Linked DNA regions of Rhinolophus ferrumequinum. The protein of the gene in region 3 purifies or fractionates together with the protein of the main gene of each other region. This does not show direct contact. Links are inferred from orthologs where the notes say so. Each region holds a gene or a part of one and is shown on either strand. Other genes may lie near its edges.

What was found.
Region 1: the proteins of CCP110 (region 3) and CEP97 purify together in Homo sapiens (co-immunoprecipitation; 10 studies listed by BioGRID and IntAct, with this or other methods). This does not show direct contact. The link is inferred for Rhinolophus ferrumequinum from reciprocal best matches to the Homo sapiens genes CCP110 and CEP97.
Region 2: the proteins of CCP110 (region 3) and CCNF purify together in Homo sapiens (affinity purification with western blotting; 7 studies listed by BioGRID and IntAct, with this or other methods). This does not show direct contact. The link is inferred for Rhinolophus ferrumequinum from reciprocal best matches to the Homo sapiens genes CCP110 and CCNF.

The regions. Positions count from the first base shown.
Region 1 is NC_046285.1:30,662,655-30,673,400, reverse strand, and holds the start of CEP97 (centrosomal protein of 97 kDa), read right to left. Parts: upstream 4,627-10,746; 5' UTR 4,443-4,626; intron 2,191-4,442; 5' UTR 2,010-2,190; intron 1-2,009. Other genes in the region: RPL24 (60S ribosomal protein L24), read left to right, coding at 4,812-4,816, 4,939-5,014, 5,593-5,703, 7,840-7,976, 8,262-8,325, 8,739-8,819. UniProt on the Homo sapiens protein: Acts as a key negative regulator of ciliogenesis in collaboration with CCP110 by capping the mother centriole thereby preventing cilia formation. Required for recruitment of CCP110 to the centrosome.
Region 2 is NW_022680357.1:4,049,995-4,060,711, reverse strand, and holds the start of CCNF (cyclin-F), read right to left. Parts: upstream 4,627-10,717; 5' UTR 4,552-4,626; coding exon 4,536-4,551; intron 3,471-4,535; coding exon 3,316-3,470; intron 2,244-3,315; coding exon 2,137-2,243; intron 1,166-2,136; coding exon 1,098-1,165; intron 1-1,097. UniProt on the Homo sapiens protein: Substrate recognition component of a SCF (SKP1-CUL1-F-box protein) E3 ubiquitin-protein ligase complex which mediates the ubiquitination and subsequent proteasomal degradation of target proteins.
Region 3 is NW_022680357.1:15,412,872-15,423,714, reverse strand, and holds the start of CCP110 (centriolar coiled-coil protein of 110 kDa), read right to left. Parts: upstream 4,760-10,843; 5' UTR 4,531-4,759; intron 3,661-4,530; 5' UTR 3,579-3,660; intron 2,902-3,578; 5' UTR 2,756-2,901; intron 894-2,755; 5' UTR 879-893; coding exon 738-878; intron 1-737. Other genes in the region: GDE1 (glycerophosphodiester phosphodiesterase 1), read left to right, coding at 6,116-6,376, 10,427-10,602.

The sequences.
Region 1 (10,746 bases), on a different chromosome or scaffold from region 3:
CCTATTTTACAGGAATGAATTGTGAGACTTAAATCTTTTCAATCCAAAGCAATTGTTTGAAACTTTTTATCATGGAAAAGTAATTAAAAGCGTATGTAACAATACAGAGATTATTTTAATGAACCCTCCTACCCAACACCCAGCTTCAGCTATTATTCACTCCTGGTCAATCTATTTTTAATCCATGCCCTTACCTACTGGACCCTCCCTCACATTACTCTAAGGCAAATCCCAGCCATCATGCTATTTCATCTGTAAATATTTAGTATATATCTGGAGATAAAAACTTTTTAAATCAAACATAATCACAGTACAATTACAACACTTAAAGTATATGTTAATATTAAAACTCCAGTCAGTATTTAAATTACCCCATGGTCTGTCCAGCTTGTTTGTTCAAATTGAGCCTCAAGTGAGATTCATATGTTTTAATTGGTTGAGGAGGCTCTTAAATTTCTTTTAATCTATAGGCAGAGCCATCTTCAAGTTGTGCAACTGGTGTATTCACGAAGGGCCCGCGCTCAGGAGCATCCCATACTTGGGGTTTAATGCTCTGCAGTTATTGTCTTGAAAGTCTTAATAATTTTGTCTTTGAATTTGTGTTTTGTTAAGTGTAGTACAGTGGGATAATAGAGCATGTGCCCTGAGCATTGGAGACTCAGCTCACATGTCGGCTTACTTCCTGGAACCTCCTCACTTTCTAGGGATGGGTCCTGGAGAGTCGCTGGTTCTACAGTCTGCTGATGCCAGCCTCCGCCTCTCCGTGCCCTCTCTCTAAATCTGGCAGCACCACTGTGCATTCCACAAGTGGCTTGATGCCCATTCCCATCAGGTCTCCAGGTACATAGCACATCCCAGGGTACTGCCAGTTTGCAGTGGGTTGGCAGGAGGACGGTGGAAGGAGATGGCTGGCTATACTTCCCCATCTTTATTAGGGCACAGCATGTTGGTCCAGCTACTCGAAGGAGGGGAACCCTAGAGCTGGTGTGTCTTGCGTGTTTCAGTACACACATCAAGTCCCAGAGCAGATCCCTGAGCACCTATGAGGGCCTGCACAGGCCCTTGCAAATGTCCTCACCTGAGGGAGCATGACGTCAAATAGCAAATGAAAAAAAAAAAACCATGAAAGGTCAAGAGACATATTGCAGAAGAAAGGAAGTAGCTTAACATTTTAATACCTTTAACAGCATCATTTTCCCGCTCTTTGTAAAAAGGACCCCACACTTTCATTTTATACGGAGCCCTGAAAATTATTTATGCAGCTAGTCCTGTCCATAGGTTCTTCTTCTCTCTCTCTCTCTCTCTCTCTCTCTCTCTCTCTCTCTCTCTCTCTCAATCTCTCTCTCCCCCTCCTTACAATTTACATGTTATTGAAGAAATTAAGTCACCCTGTAGATGCCAACTGCATCCCAGTGGAGTCATTTCACATGTCTGTCTGGCCCCTATATTTCATAAATTGGTACTTACATATGACGACTTGATTAGAATTTTGTTATGTATTTTCTTTTAATTATTTTTTATTTCTCAATTGCAGTTGGCATACAATATTATATTAGTTTTAGGTACAGCATAGTGGTTAGACATTTATATAACTTAGGAAGTGATCCCCGCATTAGTACCCACCTGGCACCATACATAGATATTACAATATTATTGACTATATTCCCTATGCTATACTTTACATCCCCATGATTATTTTGTAACTATCAGTTTGTACTACTCAATCCCTTCACCTTTTTCACCCAGCCCCCCCTAGATATTTTTAAAGAATACTTTATAATTTTTAAGAATACTTCGTAATTTTTAATGCTGTATAATTTTTAAACCTGGTAATTTTCTAACCCAGTTACTAGACATTGCTTTCAAAGCCATCCCTGAAGTCAATGCCTGAGAGTCTTAGGATTGATCAGCCTGCTGGGAATTATGGTGGTATATTCTAAAAGAGGCAAGATCCTTCCTACACCTAAGAAGAGAATGTTATTGGAAGAAAACACTCAGAATGCACTTACTTGTTTTCTAGGGGTGGTAAACACAGAGATGTACTTTCCAGATCCTTCTGCGAGCAAGGGCTTGCTGCCCAACAAAGGGCATCGTGGTCAGCTGCATCCTCCAGCTGTCAGCAGGGTCTGGCTCAGCTGCTGAGAACCACCTAACAGGTCGTGACTCTCCGGAGCAACCCACATCTGGTGACTAAGCAAAGTGGGGTTATAAAGAGGGTTGATCATTTGGCCCAACATGGGATACTCTGGCAGGCAATAATTGTTCCAGAGCTCCTGGCAGGGCTGACTGATGTTTAGTTGGTCCTGCAATGTATTTAACTTTTCCTGCCTAATACTGCTTTCTCTTCTCCCCCTTCTTTCACAAAGCCTGAGCCCTCAAGGTGCGGTGTTCAACCTTAGTTGCAGGGGGCGCTGCCCACCATCCCTTGCGGGAGTCAAGGAGTTGAACCAGCAACCTTGTGGTTGAGAGCCCACTGGCCCATGTGGGAATCGAACTGGCAGCCTTCGGAGTCAGGAGCATGGAGCTCCAACCGCCTGAGCCACCGAGCCGGCCCACTCTTATCTGTCGTTTTACAAATGACACCACTATTCACTAAGTCCTGATCTTGACAATTTCCTTACCTCCTGTATTTTCTATTGCTATGTTAATAAGCGATTCCCAAATCATAGTAGTTTAAAACAATAAACATTTATGATCTCACAGTTTCTATGGGTTAGGAATTCAAGAGGGTTTATCTAGGTGGAAATTGGAAGAGTAAGGAACATGTTCTGCCCCCAGAGCTTCTGGAGGGAGCACAGACACTTTGATTCTAGTCCAGTGACAATGATTTCAGACTTCTGGCCTCCAGCATTGAAAGAAAATGCATTTCCGATGTTTTAAGCTACAAAGTTTGTGCTAATTTGGTATAGCAACTATGGGAAATTAATACAGAAGGTGGAGTATGTATAAAAGGTGAAGAAGCAGTGAAGAGAAGAATGGTCTGTTCTCAGGAGGTATATAGAGTTGAGAAGAGCTCCAACTTTAGTTCCAAATTGCTCCATAAATAAATAAGATAATGGAGTACAGCTGAGCCTTTTGTCTATAAAAGAGAATGTGAGGATAAAGTCAGCAAAAATTTATGGATGGTGTTGGAAACTTGTGCTTTACTACACAACGTAAAATGTTTTTAGGAGTTTCTTTATAATTTCTTATTCTAAGAGTGTTTGAGCACAATTTCATTTATGATACACACAATGTTACAAAGGACCATGAAATACTACCTCAAGAATGCCCAACACGAAAGAAGAGTTAAAAGGCTAAAATCCTTAAGACCCAGTTTCCCACTTTAACTATACCGAGCCAGTCAAGCCAAACACAATTTTGAAGGCCAATAAAGCAAAATCTTTCTAAAATGCTTGGAAAGAGTCTATAAATTCTGGGGTTCTGTGGAGCAAACAGAACCAAATTCCTGCAGGTAAATCTTGGCTCCACCCTCTACTTACATCCAGCCGACTCAGAGCTTATAGTAACCAGGACTATTCAGAAAACAAAAAATTATTTTAATGATCAAACATTTGTTTAATCAGCAGTGATTTAAAACAAAGAGTTGGATGAATGTCAGAGTTGAATAAGTTCATCGAGCCATGTAAGGCTGAAGCATTTATCTGCCCATAGTCTATGTAGACAGTATCTTTCTGAAGTACACCAGGTATTCTCAACAGCTGATCACATTTGGTCAGGCTGTCAAATTTCTCCTCTTTGCTTTGCTTTTCAATTCCACCTAGATCTCTGTTAACTCATTCTTAAGACTGGTTCCAGCATAATTGTACAGCTTTCTTAACTTTAATGAGCCACCTTATTGGATTTTCCAAATCTCTTCAACTACCTCCTTACAGAAATTTTATAGGGTAAGGCTGCTTATATAGATAGCATAAATCAATCATATTTCTGTTTCCTAGGATTGACTCTTGCCACTCCCCATTCATCATATGCTGAAGTTTATCTAGCATTACAGAAGGTTAGAGAGATTAAGGCGTTGACCTTCGGGTGGGTCTGATCAGAACTCTCTTTTCCAGGCCTCCAGGCAAGGGCTTTGCCCTTCTTTGTGCAACCACTGGCCCCTGAGCTCCAATAGGAAACAGCCCCGCAGCCTAGCTCTTCCCCTACCGCAGTCGTCGTTCTGCGGTACTAAGGCGCTTACAGCGCTTACGTAACAGGGATTTTGTAAATTGAATGAACCAGTGTATGTAAATGCTTTAGCATTAGTCCTGGCACAGAGAAAGCACTCAATGAATGTTAATTATAATGAATGTAACGCGCCATCACGCACGACTCGATTTGCACGGCTTGGGAAACAGTTCAGATGTCTTTTTTTTTGCAAATGGTGAAACTATTAAAATTCAATGTTTTTGATTGAGGAAATGGGCGAACACGGAGGGCAAAAATGTGATTTTAAGTTTTACCTGAGGGGTATTCGTCTGTGGGTCACTCAACTGTAAGAGGGAGAATTCACATTCCTGCAGCAGGATGATGGCTTTAGGACATTTGACTGTAGGAGAGAGCGACTCCGAAACCAAGCGCCTGCCTCCCTGGGTGACTGTCACTTCCCTCTCACCCCGCAGAGCTTCCGCCGCCTCTTGCAGAATTCCTCCGCAAGAAAGTGGCCGCAGCTAAAACCTAGATAAGTCGCCTGGTAGTTGTGACGTCATCACCAAGCGCCCGGGTTAGAAAAGGGAATTGGGGGCGGAGATTGGCTCCCCAAGGCCTTAGAAGGCCTCTACCCATGATCCTCTCCTCTTCACCATCTTTCCTTCTTTCCGGCAGCCGTAGCCATGAAGTAAGCGGGAGCCCGGCATCCTAATCCGCTTCCATCTTCGGGCAGAACCCCTCTCGGGCGTCCTGGGTATGGCTTCTCATCGTAGACAACCCCTCCTAATGGGCGTTCGCTTTTCGTTACAGGGTCGAGCTGTGCAGTTTCAGTGGGTACAAGATCTACCCCGGACACGGGAGGCGCTACGCCAGGACCGACGGGAAGGTGAAAGGCCGCGTCGGCTAAACGCGTTTTCTACTTTTAAGAGGAAAGACGGGTCTAATTTGGTCTAGGCGGTGTCATTTAACACATCGTTTCGTGGTCCCTGAAAGGCTTGCTTTGGGGACCCTGTGTGTAGTGGTTGTAAGGATCAGAAACCTCTAAGTGAGCCATTCTTGATCTTTGATCTAGTGTGAGTCAGGTCGAAAATTAGTAGGAGTTTGTGTAACTAATGTCCCGGAGTGAGGGAAATGGGCCACCGAGGTATCTGGGCACCCACCAGGTCCTCTTGGAATCCCGGAAGGAACAGGAACTAGCTGCCTCCCAGAATTTGACCCTCCCCTGCGACATGAGTTTAGCTCTGTCTGTTCTTGAGAAAAGACAGGACCAAATGCAAAGATCTTGGAGGTGCTACACAGTTAACTGCCAGTTGTGTGACACAAACTATTGGGTCTCTGGGCCTCGATTTTGTAAAAAGCACAGGATAAAACTGGAATATTAATTAGCTAAGGATTTCAAGCTCAGCCTTTTCTATTTTGTATAGTTGAGTAGGTAACTTATATATTTTGAACTTGTCACAACAGGTTTTCCAATTTCTTAATGCAAAATGTGAGTCGGCATTCCTTTCCAAGAGGAATCCTCGACAGATAAACTGGACTGTTCTCTATAGAAGAAAGCACAAAAAAGGACAGTCGGTAAGTAAAATGCACTTTGATGTGGGGCTCTCTCTTAATTTGTTTAAATGCTGACCTTCAGTTGCTGCTCTGTAAAATTGTAACTAAATGAGAGGGTATGTGAATGTGCTCCTAAACTGCAAAGCTTCAGTGAAGTGAAAATGATTGATATTAACAGTGCCTCCTTATACATCTTATTAGGCTTACGGTAAATACCAAGTTGAAATTTGAAAGTGTCCCTTTGTCCAAGTCAGATAAATTAACATAAAGCTCACTTGGGTTACAGGGCACCATGGAAGTGTTTAAGGTGTTACAGTGGGTGGAAACTAAGTAGTTATGGGAACTTGGTTTTGATTATTATGTGTATCGGATTAGTCCTAACACAGATAATCGGTAGAATCTTCCAGCATACTAGTACTCAAGAAGACTGGGTTTGTTTTTGAAGTGCTCTTTTTACTTGACAGAAATTTACGACAAAAAGTTAAGTGCTAAGGCAATAGGGTTAGTATCCAGGAGGCTTGCTGAAGTGTTTAGACTCATGGGTGAAAGACATTACTAGGTATTGTGGGCGTTCAGAGGAAGGAGAAATTTATTTCTAAACTAATTTAAAAGTGGGTTTGACACATCCAATAGGATAGCCATTATCAAAAAAGGGAAATTACAAATGTTGGTGAGGACGTGGAGAAATTGGAACCCTTGTGCATTGTAGCGTTTTAAGATGGTACAGGCACTGTGGAAAAGAGGTTAGCAGTTTCTGAGAAAGTTAAACAGAATTATTGTATGACCCAGCAATTCCATTTCTAAGTACATAACCTAAGAGAATTTTAAGCAGGAACTTACACAGATAATTTGTACACTGATGTTCGTAACACTATTATTCACAATCACCAAAAGGTGGAAACAATCCAAGTGTCCCATCAGTGGAAGAGTGGATAAGAAAATGTGGTATATAAATGGAATGTTTTTCAGTTTTAAAAAGCTGACAGCCAGACAGCTAGCATGGATGAACCTTTTAGATACTAAGTGAAATAAGCCAGACACAAAAGAGCAAACATTGTATGATTCCACTTTTATGAAGTACCTAAAGCAGGCAAATTCATAAGACAAAAAGAGATTACCGGGGTGAGGTGAGGGAAGAAGGAATGGGGAGCTATTATTTAATGGATGCAGAGTTTGGGATGTTGAAAATGTTCTGGAGATGGATAGTGGTGGTGGTTGCACATAATTGTGGGTGTGTTCAATGCCATTGAATTATAAACTTAAAAATGCTTTAAATGGGCTAGTTAATGTTACGTATATTTTACCACGATAAAAAATATTTTAAAAATGGATTTGAGAGAAGGAAAAATATAAACAAGTAAAAGGAGCATTTTAGTTAACCACAAATGTGCCCTATTTTCTCTATATAGTCTGTTTAAAATTTTAAAGATATTTGGCATTATCCCTGCTTTAGAAAACAGTTCTTCACATACATTTTAATTTTTCTTGGACTAAGCAGTGTGCTGCAAGGTCTTTTTTCTCAGAAGCACTGTAGTGTAGGTTTCCAGTATAAAATCTGCAGCAAATGGTTGGATTGTACTGTCTTGATTCCCTGACGCTTGGTGGCTTTCCTGTCACCAGCGTAGAAAATACGTGATTTTCTAACTTGACTATTTCTACCAGTGATCATACTTTGAGTAAAAACAAAACAAGTGAGTTGAGGTTTGATCTTTTTTTCCCAAAAGTAACTTCTTTAAATGGTCTTACTAAAATCACTTTTAAAGTACTAGCCAATTAACTTCCTCAGAGTTTAACTTTCTGTCTCTTTAAAGTAGTAAAAAATGGCCAGGATTTACAATAGATGGCTTAACCAATCCATAATACAAAGGCCAAGAGAGGGTTCCCCTGTCCCCATATGTGATGATTTAGCTATAGCAGGAAGAGGGTTTTCACCTGACAGTGCTGGTACCCTGACTTCCACCCTCCAGAACATGAGAAATAAATGTCCATTGTTTGTATGCTTCTCAGTCTGGTATTTTGTTACAGCAGCGCAAATGGACTAGGACAAATATTAATCGTAAAAGACTTCACATCCCCTGCCTTAAAAACTTACTCATTTCTCCCCCAAATTCATGAAGCAAGGTTCATAAGTGTGCTCCCTATTTTTTTGTTTTGTAGGAAGAAATTCAAAAGAAAAGAACCCGCCGAGCAGTCAAATTCCAGAGGGCCATCACTGGTGCGTCTCTTGCTGATATAATGGCCAAGAGAAATCAGAAACCTGAAGTTAGGAAGGCTCAGCGAGAACAAGCTATCAGGTGAGGGAGCCTTCATTGTCAGCATTATTTAGGTTTAATATCAAGTTTATGACATAGTCTAAATGATTTGAAATTTCTATATGCAGTTAAAACTATGCAATTTCTATGTTATGCTGACTTGGTGGTTAATGACATTTGGTGACAAACCCTTTGGATTTATCCTAAAAATTGGAGATGGGAAAGGAATATGATAATTCCATTTTTCCAAACACTCTAGCTCCTTGTTAATAAGCTGTACCCTTAAGGAGTAAAGTGCTTTACCTTAAGTTATTTTTAATCCTACAGGGCTGCCAAGGAAGCAAAAAAGGCTAAGCAAGCATCTAAAAAGACAGCAATGGCTGCTGCTAAGGTAATTGTGGGATTGTCTTGGATTTCATATTTAGAACAACAGGAAAGGGGTTTTTTTAAATCCAAATTGTGGTAAATGAAAGTTTCAAGTTTTTAAAGAATTTGGTGCAGGGCTCTAATGGAAATAATGTTCATAGCTGGTTTCTGGGTGTTTTGTTTCTTAAAGTTTATTTTGAAATAATTTGTTGTCTCCTTAGCTCATCCAGTCTATGACAGTATCTTTGTCTTTCATTTATATTTCATAGAAAGGTGGACTTTTAACTTTGGGGGAGGGTTCTTAAGAGTAATATTGGGAATGCCATTAAATAGGAAAGCAATCTAGGGTACATGCAGAATTTGGACATACGGGAGGGTAATCGGTTAAAGAAGAAAGTTGCATGGGAAAATACCACATAATGTGTTATCTTTTTACAGGCTCCCACAAAGGCAGCACCTAAGCAAAAGATTGTGAAGCCTGTGAAGGTTTCTGCTCCCCGAGTTGGTGGAAAACGCTAAGTTGGCAGATGAAAATGTTAAATAAAGATCTGACTATAACTAGATTGTGGCAGAATTTTGTAAAAGAGTTCCTTTCTCTGGAGTAAGACCTCCCTAATGTAAGCCTCTTAGTTGGAGAGATGTTAAGCAAAATGATGTCAACAAGCTCTGTATGGTTAAATGCAAGCTTTGCTTATCTGAGATGTAAGGGCATGTTACACAGACTACACTGTCTTAACTTTTTGGTTATAGCTGTAAGTACTAGGGTGCCATGTAGATTTAGTCTAGGTTGATTGCTAAAGAGGCACTTTTCCCTATAACTTGTGTCCGCAGAAAGTAAACCTTTTTAATGAATTATTTTCTTAAGTTATCCTTTTCCTTCAGTAGACACATTTATATTATATTGGATTTGCCTTTGTTCGCTGGTATCTCAATCTCTTATTAGCTAATAGCTGAGTTATAAGTGCTTAAAACTATCAGCTATATTAATCTGCTCTTGATTTCAGATTAAGTTGACGTGAAGAGCACAACTTCTTGAGTAGAATGTACTTAAAAATTCCCAAAGCAGTTTGTTGAACTTGGCGTTTGGCAGCGCTGTAGTTGAAATTGTAAACATGTCTGAGTCGCCTGCTGATGTTCAAGAGGCATATATATATATAATGTGATACGGAAAATAGTAGTCATAATTTGTTAAAAATAGGCTTGGCTTCTACAGAAAGTAGGTCATTGCTACATGCAAGGATACAACAGCGAACAAGCCACATCCTCTTGAGAAACATGCTTTTTCACATACAGGAATACTAGGTGAAGGCAAAACAGACATCAACTCTTCCTCCCACCTCTGTTCTATCCAAGGTGATGAAATTGATTATTCTTTATAGTGCTTGTTAAATTCAGGCATTGTTTTAGGTGTTGATAGTAACAAATCAATGAAACAGACCCTTTGGGGAAACTTAAGTTAAACAGATGTGTAAAATCAACATAGATATGCAAGACGTATTGATTAGTTTTTGCTTAGACTTATTACGATTTTGCTTGAAAAAATCATCATTGTGGTAATGTTTTCTTTATGAAAATACGGGGGGCCGCCTGATGGCTCAGTTGGTTAGAGCGTGAGCTCTGAAAAACAAGGTTGCTGGTTCGATTCCCACATGGGCCAGTGGGCTGCACCCCCCCCCTTACCACCTCCTGCAACTAGATTGAAGGACAACGACTTGGAGCTGATGGACCCTGGAGAAACACACTGTTTCCCCCAAAAAAAGAAATGAAAATAAGATTATTTGTGAACAAGGAAAGGTTAAAACCAATCAAAATACCCACTGTGAGTACAGAGCTACAGGTTCCACTTTTTGGAGACAATAAAAATGTCCCCTTAAAGCACTGCTTTTCTGGTCTAACTGTCTTAATAAAGTAGAACTGCCAGTTCTGATTACCCTTAAATTCTGGGGAGCCTGCAGCCCAGAAAGAGCTAGAAGAAACCTATCCCAGATAGTCCCACTGACATCTGTGGAGACGGAGGCTCCCCCCGTTCCTGTGGCTTGTCCAGGATCCCTCAGGTAATCCCATTGCTCTGCTGTTTGTTCAGCATAAAAAAAAGGGAAGAAATCACAAAGGCAAAGATAGATTCAACTTCAAAAAACGGTAGTTGCTATATGCCAAAAAATTTTACACAAAATTAAAAGGCATATTACAAACTCAGGGCAACTATCACAATGTTAATTGCCTTATATATGAAGAACTCAAAAATGTTTAATAAGATTTTGTCCCAATAAAAGCCAAGAATATAAATTGATAATTCACAGGAGAAATCGAAATAAATGTCCATTAAATGTAAAATTTTAACTGATAAAAAATGGGATATCAACATTCGATTAGCAAAAAAATTACTTTTAATTACCACTACTGATGAAAGTTTATTTTGATGTTTTACATCTTTTGGGATCCTGGT
Region 2 (10,717 bases), about 11 Mb from region 3:
CTGCAGGTGTTTTAGGAGAGACCAATCCTCTAGGACAGGGGCTCCTCCCTTTTCTTTCCCTACTTTGTGAATCACATGCCCCTGCCACGGTCTTCGCAGCAGCCTGGATTTTTAAGGTTGGGAAGGGGCCCTCAATCCTCCCCACTTCTGGGTACTGCTGCCGCCCTCCCTTCTAACAGGTACGGTGTTTCTTTTTGAGGCAATGAGAATTTCCAAAATCAGACAGTGGTGATGGCTGCCTAACTTCATGAATATACTGAAAACCACAGGGTTGTGTACTTTAGATGGCGAGTTGTACGTGTGTGAGTTATGTCTGCGGAAGGGTGGGGGCAGGACTGCTGCTGTCCTGAGCCGAGGAGGAATGCTCATGGTCTCTACCAGTCACGTCACAACAGTCGTGGCAACTGACCACATGCAGGGGCTCGCTCTCAGCAAGACACCCGATTTTTCAGAAGCGGAATAATGGCTCTAGCCAAGCCTTTATGCGTTTTGGGAACTGGGACAGGACAGACCGCAGGCTAGTTTTTTGGTGTGCTAAGCAGATAGGCAGGAATTGGAAGAAAGCCACACGAGATTCTTTCAAGGAGCGCCTGCCCCCTGGGGGTGAAGAAATTCAGGCACCAAGCCGCCTTTGAACTGCTTGTACCTGCCTCCGGCTTGGAGCCTTGGCTACCTGTGTTTTGACACTCCGTGGAATCAGGCACGCTTTGCGCTCCCACGTTCTGCAGAGGAGCTGTGGCAGAGGCGAGAAACCAGAGCCTACACATGGGCTGCTGTGTTAATTGGACAGAGAGCAGGCAGGTGGGGGAAGGCTGCCGGCCCGAGTAGCCCCATTCTGAGTCTCTGCTCAGTCATTCTTTGCCTACTGCAATGAAAGGGTTTATTAAAATAAGAGGTGACTCTCTCCACCTACAAAATCACAGTTCATCGATGGGTTCCTTAACAGGGCGGCTCTAGGCACAAGCCCTCTGGAGGAGACAGTAAGGCAGACCGCCAGACACAGCGACTAAATTACAAACACTGGGAAGGGCTCCTGCTTGTTCTACAATGTTAATACCAAGTGGGGTGAGGCCAGCTCCAGCCTTGCCAGGACTTACAGCCTTCATTATAGAGGTAGGCGATGCCCAGCTTCACAGCAGCTTCAAAATTTCCCCTTTCAGCAGCCCTAGAACATTAAGAACATAAAACATCTCACAATTTCATTCCATAAAGGTTATGTTCCATCTCAGCAATTGAAGCTACTTGTTTTCTGAACAGAAACTTTTCCAGGCAATGCAGCTACATATCATTTATCCATGACATGCTACAACATGGATGAACCTTGAAAACATGCTAAGTGAAAGAAGCTAGCACACAAGGCCCTATGTTGTACGATTCCTTATATGAAATGTCCAGAACAAACAAATCCAGACATAGGAAGCAGGTTAGTGGTTGCCAAAGGTTTGGGGGGTTGCAGGAAAAAGAGGGAGTGACTGCTAATGGGTAGAGTTCATTTTGGGGTAATGAGAATGTTCTAAAGTTAATTAGTATTGATGGCTGCATAACTCTGCACATATTAAAAACCATCGAGTTGCACATTTAAAATGGGTGAACTGTATAGTTTGTGGATGACGTCTCAGGTAGCCTGCCTGGGACCACTGGCACACTTGGACGGTGGGTCTAGTTGCTGGCATACTCGGGCTCATGGGCCTTGAGGCTCATGTCCCCTTTGGCCCTCCCTTTAGGTCCCAATTCTAGCAGGGGGTGGGATCAGCCAAGGGGTGGGATCTGCAATGGGATTTAAATCACAGGATTTTGACCGAAAGAAAAGAGCTGAGTAAAGTTTCCACGTGAAGGTGACCTGCGTTTGAGTCATGCAGAATGGGCTACAGCCCACATGGGACCCTTCAGAAGCACGGCTGTGACTAATGAGTCAGGTCCGTGCCGGTGTGTGGGTGACTGATGACTGTGCTGGAAGTCGTGTGACTCGATGGGTGAGGTCCACAGCCCTCAGTTGCTTCCCAGTTGGGATAAGGGATTGGTGGGGGCTACATAAGGGGAAAATCGTTCCCAGGTCAGCCGTTGGGACACAGGCTGGCATATCAGGGAGGCCCAAAGACGGGACAGAACCAAGCTGTTCTCAGGGTGCAGAGATACCTTTCAAAGAACTTCAGGTTCCTTGGAGAAGGCCACAACTCCTGGAAGCTGGCACATGCCCACACGCTGGCATGGTTGTCTACCAGGTACTTCAGGTGGGAGTGCACCTGCAGAACAGAAGTGGGGTGAGTGGGGAGATTATCAAGGGACCTCTCAGAAGCCCAATTCCTAGATCTCTTGAAGACAAGACGTAGACAGATATAGGGTCTCCTGTTCCCTTACCCACCCCAGTAGTAAAGGCCCCCAGTCTCTGTCTCAAAGTAACAGTTGATTTGAATAAAGAGCCCAGAAACAAGTTTCTTTGTGGCTCTAAAGGTGGGGACAGTGGTTCTGGAAGGGAGAATAGTCCCTAAGCTGAGAAAGAGGGGATGACACCTCTCTTAGGGTATATACGTTCAAGGAAACCAACTCTAACGGAACAGGTATGACAGGAATCTGTTTCCCGTTCCTCTGGCTGGGGCCTTGCTAGTGGGAGCAAGGATGGAGCCTGGAGGTCCACAGGGGCTCTCAGAAAAGACGGGCATGCGTGATGGAAGCTTCAGGTAGGACCTGGAGCCTCTGCCCTGGGCGGGAGCCCTGACCACAGGTGAGCATTTTAAATGCTAACGTTCCCACCGCCACTGAAAATTCAGCACCCATGGATATTATGACCAAAATGGAGGCAGCTTTCCGAGTTGGAGAAGTGGGTTCTTGTTTTCTCACTAATCACTATACGCCCTCAGTTAAGTCAAAGTGAGGCTGCAGCTCTGATATCTGTAAAATACCTCCCAGAGTCCCTTTCAGTGTGGAATGTTACATGGAATTTGTCCTCAAGAGTATACTTTGATTCTTTTTAATACCATCCTATTTCTTTAAAAAAATTTTTAAATTTCTTTTTCATTTACAGTTGAGACACAGTATTATATTAGTTTTAGGTATAATGCTATTTCTTAAGGGATACAAATTTCACTGCCATAAAAGGGTACTTTCTGTTAAACATTACAATGGGTGTGCTACATTTTAGCTTTCCTACAATCAGAACAACCTCAAGCATCTATTAACAGTATCATCCTTGTTTCTTGGCTCTTTTTTGTAGGTAAAGCGCTGTTCTGACATTTAAGAACATGAAGTCTTGATGATGGTATGACCACAATGCTAGGACTGATGAAAATAGGACACACTTTTCATCTGACAACTTACAGCTCGAACAGCAAGAATGTCCCCAACAGAAAGCCATTTCAGGATATGAAAGAGCACATCTTCAGGGAGACTCAAGATGGTTAGGTTTCGGGGTCTCCTTCTTATTCTTCGTTTTGTAGGATAACAGAAACACTTGGCACACCTACAGTGGATCACTTAAGAAAAAAAATCAGAATGGTCTAAGGGATCTGTTGGAAAGGAATTGTACTGATATGAAAAGTTATACCTGAAGATGGTTTAACAGTTACTCTCCTTTGCCCCACAAAAGGAACCAGCCATATTTCTAGTCCCCAACAAAGATGAAATAAAGGAGTAGTAGTATAAGGATTACAGAAGACATCATCATTCATTCAAATATTCAGTAAATATTTATGGTGAATAGCAGAGAATCATGTAATTTGCTATTGGGAAACTTTCTTATCCAGAGCCCCGATGACAACTAGGAAAGGGAAAAAGCAGCCAACACTGATGAGGTTCTCCTGGCATTTCACACTCAGTGAAGCCCCCTAAAACCCAAAGTGGAAGTGATTTTTCTTCCACTTTGCAAACATGACAAAAACGCATAAAGTTCGACGGGAACTGTGGACTTGAACAATCTGGTTTTCCACTTAACTAGGAGGGTCAGCCCTGCAGGGAAGCAAAGGCTGAACTTGAAGGCCAAGCCATTCCCAGCTCTGCGGTGGTTGGAGCTGCCCTGGGTCCTCTGTCCCCGCAGGGGTCTTTTCAACTTCAGCAGCTCCTTCCACATTCTAAGCAGAGGACCTTGAAGCTCCCCAGACCCTCACCTACAGTTTACCTGGTTTTGCACCCGCTCCTCCCTCCGGTCCCTACAGGAGGGGGTTGCTCTCCTCCAAATATGACTCCCCCCTCAGTACTTTCCTCCCCCCACTCCCTGCTCTTCACCTGGGTCTTCGTACCCTCAGTTAACGTGCTGCGAAAGCCAGACCTACAGAGCGACCAGTTCCCACAGATTCCACGAATTTTACCGCAACGCTGTCCTTATTCCCTTGCTCTAGGACAGACACGAAACCTAACCACTGCGCTCACAGCCCACGACAGGTGCCGGGTCCCTCGCGGGGCTTTCACGCGGCGTCGACGGGCATTTAAACCGCGCGCCGGGCGGGCGCCACCGAGATCCCCCGCATCCCGGGCCTAAGGGCTGGAGCCGACCTGCGCAGTCTCGGGTCGCCCTCCCGCCGCCTCCCGCGCCCCGCGCTCACCGCCGCCGCTCCCCATTTCCTCCCGCGCCGCCACTTCAGCCTCAGTCGCCGCCGACTAAGCCGCTTAAGGCGCCCGCGGGCCCTGCGCGCGCCGCCCCACGCAAGCGCAGAGCCGCCCCACCGCCCGCCCTAGTTTTCAAACGCGCCCGAAGCTCCCATTGGCCGGTCTGGGGGGGCGCACGCCGCGGGTCCAGCAGGCCCCGCCCACTGCCCCGCCCTAACCACCGGCTCGGGGCTCACGCTATTGGCCGCGCCAGGACGCGAATTCGAACACCGGTCTTTGATTGGTGGATACCACGGGGATGCCCCGCCTTCCAAACCGGGGTCGGGGGTCTTGGAGGAGCGCGGCTCAGGCTCCGGGGTTGGGGCCTCTTTAGTCCGAGAAGGTCCGCCTGGGCTCGGGCTATTCTGGGCTTGGGCCTTGCCTGTTGACTCGGCGTCAGAGGTCCCTAACATCGGAAGCCACGGCGCGCAGTGGCTTGTCAGTGAAGGTCTGTCGTACCGGCCGCGCCTCCGGGTGCGGCGTCTTGCGGAGGGCGCGGCGCAACTGGACACCCACAAGTACCGTAGGTCAGGGACACCAAGGCGGCCCCTGACTTTCGGCCCTCACTCGGAGGCCGCACGCCCTGCATCCTATCCGTGCTTCAAGCGAGGAGACCCCTTGTTCCGGGCCAACCACTGTTTGCATAGATTGTAATTGTAGAAAGTGGAGTTTGAGACCTGGGCTCGAAATCTTCTTTGATTCAGCCATCACATTTTGCCCGGTCGTCCCGAGGAACGTGGCTTACTCAGGACTCTTACATCGTCTCTGCCCCGGGGCAAGCCCTAACCCTCTCATTTCACCAGCTATCTTCCCAAGTCTGTCCCCAATATCTCCTCCTCAATGCCACCTGGGAGCTCTTCCTAAAAGAGAACTGCGCGCCTGTTTGCTTTACGGGCTGCTGCTGAGCATTCTGTTCATTCAGAGATATCAGGCAATGACTACGCCGCCTGTTTTTCAGGAACCAGCTCACATCCCACCTCTTACGTGAGACATTTTGACAATGAAAGAAATGGAATCTCCTGGGAGAAGTGTTGAGGGAGGACAGAGTGGCTTTTCCTGGAGAAGCGAGGGAATCTGGGTTATGGCTCAAACCCCGCTCCCTTCATCTCTCCTCTGTACTCACTGAACCCCATGGTGCCAATGCTCCATGCCAGTCTGGAGCAAGAGGTGGAGAACTGAGGAGGTGGATGATCACAACGCAGGATGTGAGAGTCTCAGTGGTCCCCAAATGACAAGGGACTAAGGCCCTGGAAGTTGGGGGTGGTGGAGGGGGTAGGGGATTTGTACAGGAAGCTGAGTGAATAGAGCTGAGCATGCTTGGGGCCTGCTCCCTAGATGTCCCACATTCCCACACAAAAGGACTGGAAGAAATCCATGGAAGACCCCTCCGATTTCTCATCCTTCCTCATACCTGTTTCCATTGGTAACTGTTTCCCAATTTGTTGTCTTCTTCCCCTGCCCTCTTGCTTCATTACAGGTCTCCCCCAAGGCAGAAGAGTGCACTCTTTTCAGTGTTAGATTTTGGGAGCAGCTTGGTGGCACTAGTACACTGGATTCACCAGTCAGCAAGTCCGTTGTCATTCACCACTCTAACTCCCCTGTGATACAACGTCAAGGAGTTCAAAACAACATCCCTGGTCACTCACTCGGTTGACTTGTTCTTTATGTCCTCCCTTATCACTCTTATTTATTCAGAGGTAAAGTTTTCTTATTTTTCAGGAAACAGGTGTTCTCGTGGCTATGTTGCAGCTATACCTTCTCTAGCCCCCACCCACTGCCCTGGCAGTAAAAGCCCCTCTGACCCAGCGGGGTGATAAGGGGCCCGTTTCCCACTGGGCTTCAGGAAGGTGGGAGAAGTCACTGGAAAAATCTAGACTTGGGAGCTCAGGGAAGATCCTAGCTGGAACAAGATGGTAGCTGAAGGCCTGGGGGTGAATGTGAAAGGAATTCAGGGGTGTCGGGGGCAGAGGATAGAGTAAGGAACGTGAAGTAGACTGGGAGCCTGAAGAACCCCTCCATTCAGAAAGAAAAGAGGAGCCTTCAGACAAGACAGAGAAGGGGCCACAGAGGGACAGAGCCAAATGCAATGGGGAGAGGCCACGGGAGGGGCTTTCATCAGAAGGCTGCAGGGGATATTGTGAAATGTCACTGAACAGTCACATGGAAAAAGGGAGAAACTAGTGGGTGTGGCAGCCAAGGATGTGACGATGCTGTAATTTTGGGTGAGTGGCAATAGGAGGTAGGAAATGTGGTTAGGGACTTTAGATACCACTTTCCCAGAGCTTGGCTGAGAAGGGAGGGAGAGAACTACCTGGCAAAGGACGAGCTGAGGGGGCTTTTTAGAGGGTCCAGAGTGACCCTGCTGGAGAGAGAAAGGCGACTTGATGGGGCATGTCTCAGGAGTAGAAAAAATCAGAGGAAAGAAAAATACTTTATATAGCAGCAAGTTCCTTTTCACTCTTTATTTCCCAAGCGTAATATATGCTTTAATTTTTAGATACTACTACAATAATATTTTCATTTCCAGAAAAACATTTTTCCGTTGAGGAAAGAAAAATATTTTTTCTCTAGTTAAAGCATCTCTGATGTTGCACATAAGAATCTAAAGGAACAGCATTGTGAATACAGTAAGTATCACTGAATCGCACACTTTAAAATGGCCAATTGTATGTTATGTGAATTTCACTTCTTTCCTTATCTCTGCTACCAGCGTAGTCCAAGTCATGAAATTAAATTGATCTACCAGACAGGAATTGTCATTTACAAAGTAACAGAAGTCCAACTCAACCTAGCTTAAGCCCAAACAAAACAAAAACAAAAACAACAGATGAAGGATTTATTGCTCACATAACTGGAAGTCTAAAATGGAATAACCTATAGAAACAGCTGTCCAAGTGTTCAAATAATGTAATCAGGGAATCAGGGTTTGTCTCTCAATTTTACTTTCCTCTGTGTCCTCTTGTCAAGCAGTCTCTAAACAGGAGCTCTAGGCTTATATAAAAAATACCAGAGAAAATATGTCTCCTTCCAGCAAAACTCCCAAGAAGACTCTGGCTTCGCTTGGTGGCGTGTGGGAGAAGAGCCAGGAAAATGGGGAGAAGGGGTCTGAACCATATGAAATGATTACCCCCCACACACATGTACACATACAAAGATTTCTATTACCAGCAGAAGGGAGGGAAACCTATCTCCTTTGCTGCCCAGAAGAAAAGAAATCCTGTATATAACATTTAAAAACTTCTCTGCCTAATATAATAAACCATCTATGAACAACATAAAACACACTTGCTCCCTCTCCAAAAGAAGATCTAGGTTTGGACGGATTCTGCATCTAGATCAAGGGTAGGCTCTGGGTGATGTGCATTCCTCTGGTCCTGGTCTAGATTTGACTCCCTGGGGTCTGGTACTTGGGGCTCAAAAATGAGAATATGACCACCCAAGTCATCCAACATACATTGGAAGAGGGAGACTGGTTGTATCTGCCATCTTTCACAGCCCTTCACGAGAAGGGAATTGGAGGCGATTGCCCTTCTGAGCTGCAGTGCTGTTGTAGCCCACTTCCTATTGGTATGGTTTTGGGAAGTTATCTTAGGGGTTGAGTAATTACAGTACTTTACTTATTAAACGTTTCCCACCCCTGGAAATAAAATTCCAATAAAATATCAGTCGGCTGCCAGTCGGTTTACATTATGTTGGTTCCCTAGGCTAGGAACTAAAACCAGATATTCTATCCAACCAGAGGACTTACGTCTGCATGGCAGCCGTGGAGTTCTGTCTCTTACCACAGATAAGAGACATGCCCTGAGTTTATTGCTTCTAGAAGCCTTGGCCCGAGTCCCAAAAATAATGTCCACATGAAAACCTGTACATGGATGTTTATAACTGCTTTATTCATAATTGCCAAAAACTTGGAAGCCACCAAGATGTCCTTCAATAGGCGAAAGGATAAATAAACTGGTATATCTAGACAATGAAATATTATTCAACGCTAAAAAGAAATGAGCCATGAAAAGACATGGAAGAAACTTAAATGCATGTTACTAAGTGAAAGAAGCCAGTCTGAAAAGGCTATCCACTGTATGGTTTCAATGATAAGACATTCTAGAAAAGGCAAAACTATGGAGACAGTGAAAGAATCAGTAGTTGCCAAGGGTTGTTGGGGAGGGAAGGATAAAGTAGAGCGTGGGAGTTTTAGGGCAGTGAAACTATTGTGTATGATACTATAATGGATACATATCAGTACATGTTTGTCAAAACCCACTGAATGTACAACACTAGTAGTGAACCCTATTGTAAGCTATAAACGTTGGGGAATAGTGATGTGTCCATGTCACAACGGATTGTAACAAATGCACCGCTCTGGTGCAGGATGTTGATCATAGGACAGGCTGTGCATATCAGGTGGCGAGGGGTATATGGAAAACCTCTGTCCCTTCCCCTCAATTCTTCTGTGAACCTAAAACTGCTCTAAAAACTAAAGTCTATTTTTAAAAAATTATGTTGACAAGAGTAAAATCATAATCCTAAACCCTTTCACTATTAAATTACAATTTAGAAACCCACATAAATTAAAAATCAATTATGTATATGGGTGATTTTTGTTTTTTATTACACAGACCATCACTGGATAAACTGGTTCAGGAAACTAGCTCTGTGCAGTTACACAGCTGTAAGAACTTCTTATGGTCACTAGCATCGCTAGCAACCACTATTAGGGATATTAAGGATGCAAATGATACTTCAAAACTATCATTCGCATGACAGGAAAGAAAAGCGGTACCTCCTAAGTAAAAGCTACATATGATCAAATACTCAGTTTATGTAGCTACATGTTCACAGGTATTTCTAAAATACCACGGTTGAGATTCTGGCAAGAAAAGGACCGTTGTTACGATACATGTGATGACCTCCAGTCTACGACAACACTTTTCCATTGAAAGAATTGTTTCTGTAATAAGTTTTCTTAACTCTAAATTTCTTAGCAACACATGGTTTTATAGCAGAAAGTTTGAATTAGAAAAGGGAAAAGAAGGACTGCTAAGTAGGGAAATAAAATTCCTAAAATAAATAATTCACTAGTACATTGAGTCAACACAAAAAGGGAGCCAACAGAGTGACAGATTAATTAAGAATAACTAATGATGCATAGAAACTTAACCGCTTTTTATAAGTCTCTGCAAATACAAATTTATCAACCTGCCTGTGTAGGTTGATTATTTAGGAAAATAGATATCACCAACTTAGTAAAGGAAGGGAGTTTTCTAAAAGTCTAAATATTTCTTCAAATAAATTGTGAAGAAATTGGGAAAGCTGTCAAAGACACCTCAAAGCAGTGCAAGTGCAAATAACTCGAATGGGTGAGTTGTTCTCAACTACAAGCAACAGATCATTCTGATCCATAAAGATAGAAAACCTCCAATATTTAAAAAGCAGGTTAGCATACCAGTGATACCAAAATCTGACAATGATAGCTTTAGAAACACTAAAACCCATTCTCACTGAAGACATAAAAGTCCTTGATAACACATAGAATCCAGAAGTGCATTAAAGGAATAGTACACCATGAGCGAGTGGAAAATTCATCACAGAAATATAGGAATGATTCAATATTTTCACTATTATGATATGTATAATTTACTATATTGTTTGGTCGAAGGATTAAAAACATATTACTATGTTAATGAATTCCAAAGGGCATTTGATAAAATTTACCGTCTATTTCTGGATCTTAAAAAAACCCAAAAAACACCCAAAACCTTAGAAAAAGACTTGTTTATAACATACTGAAAAAAAATACAGGGCATCCAGATGGCTCAGTTGGTTAGAGTGTGAGCTCTGAACAAGGTTGCCAGTTCAATTCCCGCATGGGATGGTGGGCTGTGTGTCCCCCGCAACTAAGATTGAAAACTTGGATCTGAGATGTTCCCTTCACAACTAGATTTAAGGACGACTTGGAGCTGATGTGCCCTGGAAAAACACACTGTTCCCCAATATTCCCTAATAAAAAAATTAAAAAAAAATACATATCTCTAATCAAAAGCAAATATATTTTCTGGTGATTAGTAGCAGAATTCAGTTAAGGCAGAACCAAGACTAGAATGCCAGCTGCAAAATTGTTTTCTAACATTGTTCTGGAAAT
Region 3 (10,843 bases):
CCTCAAAACAGCTCTGTGAGGCAGGCATTATTTTTATTGTCATTTAACAAATAAAGAAAATGGACTTGCAAGTTCACAGAGCAGGTAAGTGGCAGAGCAGTGATTTGAACCCAGGCCAGAAGGTAGCAGAGCTGGGCTTCAAACCACGGCTCTTCCCTGCCCCCGAGAGCATGCGTTGTGCAGTGACTTATAGTAGCTTGTGGATATTCTTCCAGGCCCATATCTTAGGTGTACTGTATTCACTTGAATGGCATGGATGAGATTCTTCTATAAAACGGACCAGTTAAACTAGTCCACTACTGATAGATACTTAGGTTGTTCAATCTTTTTCTATTTTAAACAACGCTTCTATAACCTTACGAAGATTTCTTTGGTCATATAGATGAGTATAACTGTAAGATATTCCCCCAAAATGGAATTGCTGAATCAAAGATTATGTATACTTTTAAATTCTGATAAACACTACCATATTGCTCACCAAAAAATAAAATTAACTTATTCTCTCAGCAAAAGTGTATCATAAGTGCCTTTTCCCCACAGATCTTATCAGATCTTTGCAAATCTAGTAGGCAAAAAAAAAAAAGCTAAAAAAAACACCCAACTCATTTCTATTTTTTTAATTATGAATAAGTTAGGCATCTTTCTGATGTTCATAACTCTTTCTTTTGTTTTTCTATGAACTGCCTTTGTGGGCCACTATAGAAAACAAGGTTATGTAAAAATCAAAGAGCGTTTACCAGTGGAGAAAGCACAGCCACTCCATGGAAGCGAATAAGTGAGATGCTTTCAGACTGGACAGGTAAAAAGCTCTCAGTGGACAGTGATGCTTCTTGGATTCTGGCAAGACTCTTCTCACAGAACTTCTCATATTCCTCCATCTTCCCACGACCACACTACAAAAGAGAAGAATGTCATTTTGAATGTGCTGAGTAAAATACATCTTAATTATTTGGCCAATTGTATAGAGCACTGAAATATTCCTAGAATTCACGACTCCTAGAACTGGCCCTCCCAGAATTTTTTCACTGATCAGGAGCTAAATCTTGAGTCTAAGGTAAAACATAGGTCACGATCCTCCCCAGTTGAAGCTTGCTTCCAGATAGTAAACATTTTTGAACACTTGCATGTAAATCAATCTTTGAATGTGATTAGTTTAGAAAAGTACTAAGAACTCACTCACCAATGAACTCTACTTTAAAAACACAAAGTTCTATACCACTTTCCTAACTTTAGATTACAAAATAGAATACATTTTCTTAAGCAGGACTTATCTACACAGCACAAGAAAAACTAAATTATAGAAAGGTAGAAATGCTTTTCTACAAAAAAAAAAAAAGACAAAAGGGTTATTTAAATAAAAGAGCATATTTATTTTTTAAAATTCTTTTTCTGTCATGGAGTTCAAAGTCTATTACTTGCATATCTAAAAAACATAGTATGACTCCATGGTCACTGGCCAAATCAGTCAGCAGTGGAAAACAGAAAATCTATAGGCTCTCATAATAATTCTAGTTGATCATTGAAAATTGAAACCATTGCCAAACTACTTAAAACAATCAACCCTGTAACTTCACAATTTCTGGAAAAGTGTAATGGTGGCTATGAAAATACAAGGGAACCAGGAAGGATTAGCCACCATATTCATTCAGCTAGCAAGCATTAAATATTTGATTGCCTGTTTCCATAGCATTATGTCTGGCATTGTTTCCTTTAAATAAGCAAGGGAAAATAAAAAGGGAGTCATCATCAGACTCATAACCAACAAGGGAATGAACTGTGAGGACAGAAAAACTAATACAGTAATGTATCTTTCAGTGTTCATTTTAAAACAATTAATTAATTAACAAAAGACAGAGGGCAGGGAGATTCAATTCATGATGTAGGATATGCAAAGATGAAATAAGAGAGAATATGATACTGTCCTAAGCCTCCAGGTACTTAAAAATTCAGTACACTGAAGTGCCAGGGACAAATTATAATACAATTAGAAATGAAGAAAAAGCATATGAAAATTATGATTAGATTGACCAACTGGTAGTCTTAATAACTTCTTCCTACCATCCCATCAATTCTAAATATTTCCATATTCAAATTATGCAAAGTGAGCGTTTAATTCACAGAAATGTCACCATAGCAAGGCCTCCATTTTCAGTCTAGAGTCCAACCTACATTATGATTACGATTATCTTAACAATCACAATATGCAGAAGCTAAGACGTAAGAGAAATTCAAACGACCCCATTTTGATTAAAATACTTCCAAATATTTTTTACCACAATCCATGCATCCAGCATTTTACGGCACATAAATAGATTACTCATACAATTAATGTTAATAGACTTCCTATGGCTACACAAACAAAGAATGAAATTCTATTTTAAAGGTCTGGGAAATTTAAGGAAACAAAGTATCTTTACAATAGTTTCAGTTTTCTTTCAACAATGTCACATAGATATGCCTCATTGCTTCAGAAAGTTAAATTCATATCCCTTAAACAGTACATGTATGTCATACATACTGCAGGTGGACCGTAATTTATTATTATTTCAGCATAACTTGTGGCATCTGCTATTGCATGAAATATCCAAATACAAGTGCTAATATGCTGACTATGGAAATTACCAAATGATCCTAGAAGAGCATGACTGGATCCTTCTTATCCTTCAGCCTCAGCTTGTTGGTCCCCCATCTAAATTAACCCTGCATCAGTCACGACCACATTATACTGCTTCTTACCAATTTCCACAGCACTTACCACTATCTGAAATTATCTTGTTTGTTGCCTTGGTTTTTGTCTGCCTTTCTCCAGTGAAACACGAGCTCCATAAGCACAGGTGCTTTCTCACTCTTGCTCACCACTGAATCCCCATGACACAGGAACAGCGCCAGCACTCAGTAGCACTTGATAAAAGTATTGAACAAATACATCAGGGTAGTTAGCTCAAAGAATAATGCAAACCAGGAAAAAGATGAACAGCGATCGACTAGATAGCAAGGCAGCTAGCAAGGAAGAGTGGTAGTTTCATGGATGACCCTATTCTCACAGAAACTGGCACCTCTGAACTGCAAAGGCAGCCACTTACAAAGTGAGCATCCATAGCCTGCACGATTGAGCAAGAGGGAGCCGCCTTTCTCACAATACAATCACCTCTGTCAGCAGGATTTTATTTTTAGGGAGCCCTGACTACACGGCCACACCAACCACAAATCTACTGCCCCATACTTGACCATCAGGCATTACCGGCTCACGTGCATTAATAATTTGTCAGCTGCATCAAGTTCAGACATGCCTCGTCTTTCCCATTTATACCATGACCCTTCTCCAAGTAAGCCTCTTTGCAAACCCCTTCGACTCATGGCCCTGCGCCTGCGCCCTGTTCCTCACCAGTGCTTTACGAGTCACATCACTGAAGGGAATGGTAAAAGTAACACAGAACAGATCTTGCCTTGTTTAGAGATTCTAGATGGTTGGTTACCCATCCGTCCTCCCAAAGACATAAACCTCTTGCAGAGGCCATACAGGGGAAGGTTTCTTATCCAGGCACACACTCGCTGTAAGTTCTTGGCAATTCACTTACCATCTCTATGCCTCAGTCTCCTCATCTGTAAAATAGGGATAATCTCATCTGTCTCAAAGAGATCCTGTGAGGATTCAAGAAACTAACACACGGATGGCAATTAGTATACTGCAGGACATGCAGAAAGCATCAATAAAAGGGGGGGGGCTGCTTTTATTATGCAGATGATGATGGTGATAATGATGATGATGGTGGCTTATCACTAAATTATGAACTCCTGGAGGGCAGTGAACAGTGCGTGGTTCCTGGTAAGATTCAAACTTAACTGTAAAACATGGAAAGGGGGACAACAGCGTCCTCATTTCTTATTTTTCCAGACCCCTTCCCATTGAATCAATCTCTAGCACCTGTCATTTGCCTCAACGCGGGGGGTAGGGAACTTGGATCAAAACCAGAGAGAAGCAAAGATTGGGAACCACGTAGCAGCATGAGAGGCAATCAAGATAATTTGCTTTATTATCCTCATGCTTCTGCCCCCAGAGAGTCGCGAAGGCAGAGTAAACAGCGCTCCGAGGGCCTCCGGTTGTGGTAACCCGCGTGCAGAAATGGCCAGTACACACCCTGGGGACGCCTCCCTCGCCAGCCTCGTGGCCCGGTGATTTAAATAGGCCCAGTTTTATCAAAAGGAGACAGGCTCGGGCCGGAGTTTATGTACCCGGGACCCTCACGCCAGCGCCCCACATCCACCTCCCCCAGCTCCTTGGATAAGGCTCCATCCCTAGGGCCCACCAGGCGGTGGTGCCACCATCCGAGCATCACCTCCGCGCTGGGTGCCACGGGCACCGGGGCCCCCGCCTCCCCACACCGGCGCCTTTCCAGGGGCTCGAGGCCCGGGAGCCCAGCATTGGCGCTCGGGTTCCGTACGGAGCCCGCCCTCAGCTCCTCAGGGCGCCAGGTCCGCCTCGCCCGGTGGCGGGACCCTCGGAGTCAAAGCCCCTCCTCACGCACACACCTGATCTCCTACGGCTGGGTCAGCTTTCCTCCCCTCACCACAGGCCTTGTCAGGAAGCAAATGGCTCAACTGGTACTGACAGAGAGCAGCTCGGTCCACCGCCGCCGCCTCCTCCTCCTCCCCGCCATATTACGGGTCTCAGGCGGCAACGCGGGCTCCTGGCAACCGCCGCCGCCGCCCAGACTCCACCTCTCAGGGTGGGCACTTCCGGTGGTTGCTTCCCGGGCCGTTGAAACCGTTGGGCCACCAGAAAACTACAGTCCCCGAGGTGCATTGCGCGCCTGGGTAAGGCTCCTAGGCCAGTGATGAAGGGCGTGGTACTTACGGGAAGCGCGGTGCGCGCCGGGAAACGTAGTCTTCACTGCGAGCTAGCGCCTCTACCGTTACAAATGATATAGTGACACCTTTCATTTTGTAACTTGACTTTACGCTCTGCCTCTCTTATTGACGCTCCTTCCCGTGCCTATTTTTGCATATGTAAAATGAGAGTTTTAAAAGTGACTGTCACAAGGGTGGTTATGAGGAGCAGCAGATAATTCTCGCCCAATAACTGGCTCGTAAGCCCCATGACCAGCCCTTGGCAGGACGTAAGGTTAGGAGGAGAAGTAGCAGTGGAAAAGTCACTGGCCTAAAACTGGGGTGGCTTGAGTCAGTCTTAACTCTGCCATTAATGGCTCAATTCGCTTCACCTCTCCTGGCCTCAGTTTCCTCATTTGCACAAGGAGGGAATCATTCAAATGCCTTCCAGCTTTATAATCTGGTTTTCGCTCATTTTGCTATGCCCTTTCGTTCCCTCAGTCTGAAAAACCCTCCTAAAAATCAACTGAATTCAGTCTCCTGAGATAATACCTACCCACTGAGGCTGTTGTGAAGATAATACCTACCCACTGAAGCGTTCGCTGGCACAGAACCTGGGACATGGTAGGTGCTCTATGAATGTTAGCTGTACCCCCGAACACAATTATTTTCCCCCACGATTACGTAAGCCCCGCAAGAGTAGGAACCCTGTAGATCCTGTTCACTGCTGGGCGGTGTCCTCGAAGGCAGACTGAAGGAGTCACTAAGATCCCATCCAGTCCTACGACTATACAACAGCTCTCGTATCCCTCCCCTTCCGGAGTCTGAAAGCTCAGGTTGAAGTCCAGATCCCAGAGTAACCCAAAAGCCACTTTTGGACTTTTGGAATGCGGGCCTGGGGCCTGGGGCCTGGGGCCTGGGGCCTGGGGCCTGGGGCCTGGGGCCTGGGGCCTGGGGCCTGGGGCCTGGGGCCTGGGGCCTGGGGCCTGGGGCCTGGGGCCTGGGGCCTGGGGCCTGGGGCCTGGGGCCTGGGGCCTGGGGCCTGGGGCCGCCTCCGTTGCCATGGCAGTGGCTCCGCCCCCGTCCTCGCAGATCCCGGGCCCTGATTGGCTGGACTCCCAGCCCCTTCCAGGGATGTGGCCGCCGCCGCCGCCATTGTGAGGCGCTAGTCCCTTTGAAGGGTGTCCCCTGCGGCGAGTGCCTTGGGCTCTCGCCCTCGCTTCTCGTTCTCCTGTCCCAGGAGCCCGGCGGGTCCGGGACTCCCGTCCGTGCCGGTGCGGGCGCCGGCATGTGGCTGTGGGAGGAACAGGGGGGCCTCCTGGGCCCTTTCTCCTTCCTGCTGCTGCTGTTTCTGCTGGTGACACGTAGCCCCTTCAATGCCTGCCTCTTCACCGGCAGCCTCTACCTTCTGCTCCGTCTCTTCAGCTTTGAGCCTGTGCCCCCCCGCAGGGCCCTGCAGGTGCTCAAGCCCCGGGACCGCGTTGCCGCCATCGCCCACCGCGGCGGCAGCCACGACGCGCCCGAAAACACGCTGGCGGCCATTCGGCAGGTGAGCCCCCCCCCCCCCCTGCTTCCTCCCCATACCCCCATCTCTCCCCCCTCGCGCCCCTCCGCCGCTCCTGGGAGTTTGGACTTCTGCTTGCCCTTCCCAAGCTTCCCCAGTCTTCTCACGACAGCCTTCCCAGTACCCCATTCGTCCGCCAGGAAGACATTCAAGTGGCCCAACATCCCTCTGAAGTCTGGAAAGTCTTCAAGAATTTGTAGAACAGCAGCAAATATTGACATGTTTGCTATGTGCCAGGCACCGCGGACACACGAACAAGTCCGTAAGGGCCCCGCTTTCACAGAGCTTGCCTTGCAGTGGGAGAGACAGGCCTTAAACGAGGAAACCCATAAATGAGACACTTGAAGAGAGCGAAAAGCGCAAAAAAGAAATAGGGTAATGGTACAAGGAATGACCCAGAGGAGGAGTTAAGCTGTTTTAGACAGTCATCAGAGACGTCCTCTTGAAGAGAAGAACGTGCGAACTGAAATCGAGATTATGAGAAAGACCCAGACAGGGATCTGGGGGGAAGGCGTCCCCGGAAAAGGGAACAGCAAGAGCGAAAGTCCTGAAGTGGGAAGGGTGTTGGAATATTCAGGTGACAGAATAGGCAGTTCTGTGGCCTGACTTCAAGGAATAAAATGAAGGCTGGTGTGGGAGTGAAGGAAGAAACGTGGCCAGGCTAAGCAGAGGCTTGATCAGTGGTTGAGTTCACGCTAAATGGATCCCCTCCCCAGGAGCAGCCGTTGCCCACGTCATCTCCTTATCACCTTTTCCCCCAAACACACTGACACTCAGACAACCATGTCAGCGGGACTCCTGATGAATTTTTGCCTCCCCTTTTCACAGGGCTCTCCTGGCAGTCTCGCAGCTTCACAATAATAATACAATAATAATGACAGCTTACATAGCAAGAGAGCTTTTGCGTTGTCTAGGTTCTTTTGCATCTGAGGAAATAGATCTGGTCCTCTCGTTTCTTTGAGACATTATTTTAACATTGAATGGGTAGGAAAACTGACTCAAATACATGGCTCCTTGAATTCAGCCTTCTGATTCCAAGCCCCAATCCACGTTGTCATAGATTAGAATTGTTCCAGGATGGGAAAACGTGGGCTGAGTATCCTTTATTTGTCCAGCTAGGGACAGACAATGTTGTATAAGGAGCAAGTTACTTAAGTTGTGTGTGTCCCAGTTAGAGTCATGACTAGGGTATGGCAGGCCAGGCACCTTAGGACACCTCCCTTCACTCTAGTCCTAGCCCTGACCTCAATTGCCCCATCTGTACAATGGGAATACTATTGGCATCCACTTAGTAGGTTGTGATTCAGTGAGACAGTCGACACAAAGTGCTTGGCCCATGATGAGACTTCCATTCATGTAAGATCTTTAGGCCAAGAATCTAAAGATGGCTTGATCCTTTAAAATCATCTCCGAGTAAAGGTTAAAAAAAATAAGTGAAGAAGGAAGGGAGTCTGGAAGGCAGCCTGTAATTTACTGGAGCGCACTTCACTCTGTGTTTATAAACCAAGTTAAACTTCTCTTGTGCTTCTTTCCCCGTGGTTCTTTGCGATGGAAGGGAGGCAGAACAGCTCTTTAAGCCTTCTGTTTAAAAAGAAATCTAAAGATATTGAAGGGTGTATTTTATATTCTAAACTAAAACTCAGAGCGGTCAGATGAAGTAACATAGCTACACAGGAGATAGAATTGTCATGAAAAGAAAGATGACACTATAGGAAAACAACCCAAGAGTTCTACCATTGTCAGAAAGTCTTCCGTGATTTTTCACATCATAGAAAGTTTAAGAATATAAATTATGAGATGCAAACATGCAAAGGGAGAAAGAACAGGACAAAAACCAAACTTTGATGGAAATACACTATATATTTCTTTTGAACTCAAGATGAAGGGAATGGCCTTCTGTAGATAGAGAAGGACTGAGAGATGAAATGAATGTATTCCAAAAGCATACACAATTACGCATAGTGACAGTGATGAAATTTTACCCACAGTCCATTCTCCACACAGGCCAGAGTACCTTTTTAAAGTATAAATCAGATTGTACTATCCTGCCCTTATTTAGAACCCTCCAGTGGTTCTCTGTTGCAGTTAGATAAAATCCAAACACCTTTCTATCTTGTGTCTTTCTCAAACTCCATAATCTGTCTATTCCAACCACCTGGGTGTTTCTTAGAATGCTTTTGGCTTCGTGTAATAGAGAGTTTACTACAAATATCGCAGACAATAATGGGGTTATCCTCTCACATGACAAGTGTGTGTGGGAGAGGTGACTTCCGGGATTGTTTCTTCAGCCATTCAGTTTGTGATCATGGAGGACTCAGGTTTCATGGATCCATCTGCTCTGCCATCTGCAGCATATCTGTACTAGTCCTCTGTGCGGTTGCCAGGTGGCCATTGCACCCCAGGCATCACCTTCTTACACACCAGCATCTAATCTCAAGAAAAGGCTGCACGTCCTCTCCCACGTTTCTTTCCCAGAAGCCTCCGTCACGCACGCACGCAGACAGAGGGATTGGGAGTAGTCCACTTACTCTAAGCCCAGGAGAAACTGAACACTGGGGCAAGGGCCAGTCTCCGCCAGCAGAGAAGAAGGATAGATTTGGGTAGGCAGTCCCCACGTTGTGGCTCCCTCCTCCCTGGTGGCCTTTGTAGCTTAGAAGAAAATATGGGTGTATGTGTTTATAAATGGGGGATAGAAAAAGATTTTAAAAAGATAGAAAACTCTCTACCCGTAAAGAACATTGATAAATTTGATAATCCAGTGTTTCAAAACAACCCAGTACCTAACAATGGCTAATATTTATTGAATGTTTACTGTGCGTTAGTAGAGTGCTGTAGGTTGTTTATAGGCACTTAAGTGTACAGCAGATACACAAAGGCCTCTGGGAAATGATAAGGGAAGGATGCACGTCAACTTTAAGCGGTGAGGAAGGGGGAGAAATTCAGCTGCCTCTGTAGTGTCCATAGTAATGTCACAGTGATTAATAAATAGTGCAGCATCTACCATATCCTTCTTTGTGTAACCCAGAGCAAGTTTCTTTATTTCTGCTTCCTCATCTGAAAATGAGAATGCTCACAGTACCTCCCAAAGTGTTGTGAGGATCAAGTGAGTTAATACATTTAAAGCACTTAGAATAGTGCCTGACACATAGAAAAGGCTCAGTAGATAACAGCTTTCATTATGTTTTTTAAGGCAGCAAGAGATCGAAGCCAGTATGGCCAACAAGGGTTTACATCTGTTAAGTGTTTTTTGCTGTATAAACATGGGTGGCGGCAAAAGTGACAAAACTGAAACTGTCCTACTTTGGACACATCAGAGAAGGCAGGGTTCTTTGGAAAAGACAATAATGCTGGAAAATAGAAGGTAGTAGGAAAAGAGGAAGACCGAATATGAGATGGGCGGAGTCCATAAAAGAAGCCACAGGCAGAGGTCTGCAGGATCTGAGGAGGGCAGTGAGGACGGGACATTGTGGACGTCACTCACTCACAGGGTCACCAGGAGTCAGAGCCGACTCAATGGCACGTAACACACACACTATGCTTGCATAATGTAAAAATTTTGGGGGGGAGTGTCTTGTTTCGTTTCGTCTTGTTTTTCACTCGTCTTGTTTATGCCAAGGTAGTGAACACCCGACTTAATCAGCAAACACCGAGGAGTCTCAGAGATGCTGTGCCAAACAGTGTGGAGGGAAACAGTGGGATCTGTCAAAATATATGCAACTGTAAACTGCCAATGGCGCATATAATTAAGGCAACTAGAGAAACTTAAATTCCGGAAGTCTCCCCGTCTGCCACTGTGAGAGTGGGAAAAGTGGGGAAATCGAAGTTTTTGAGGCATCCCTAAGTGTAGATGCTGAGTGAGGGTACCACCCATGGAAACTAGCAATGGCTTGGGTTGCTCTTTGGTACAGGAAGGGAAGGAGTCGGTAAGAGCAGCCGTCTACTTACCCAGCCCTCTGGGTGGTCATGTTGAGTGTCTAGACTGCAAAGTGACTTCTGTGGCCACTTGACATTAATGTTGTTGATGTTTTTGTTAAGGCAGCTAAGAACGGAGCAGCAGGCGTGGAGTTGGACGTTGAGTTTTCTTCTGACGGGGTTCCTGTCTTAATGCACGATAACACAGTAGATAGGACGACAGATGGCACCGGGCGATTGTGTGATTTGACATTTGAACAAATTAGGAAGCTTAATCCTGCAGCAAATCACAGATTAAGGTAAGTGGTGTGTTGGCAACCTCAGCATTAGGTTCAGCTTTTGTTGGCGATCACAGAAAGACCCTGGCACCTTCAAATGACATCTTGTGCTCCCGGAGAGTTGTTTTGTTGTGTTTCGTTTTGAACTGGATACATGTTTCCTAAGTAATAAGCAGGTGCCAGGAACAACAGCAATGTAGCATGGATGTTTCTATCTTTTCCCACAGAGGCCAAATTTGGCCTCAGAATTACTTTTTCTAGT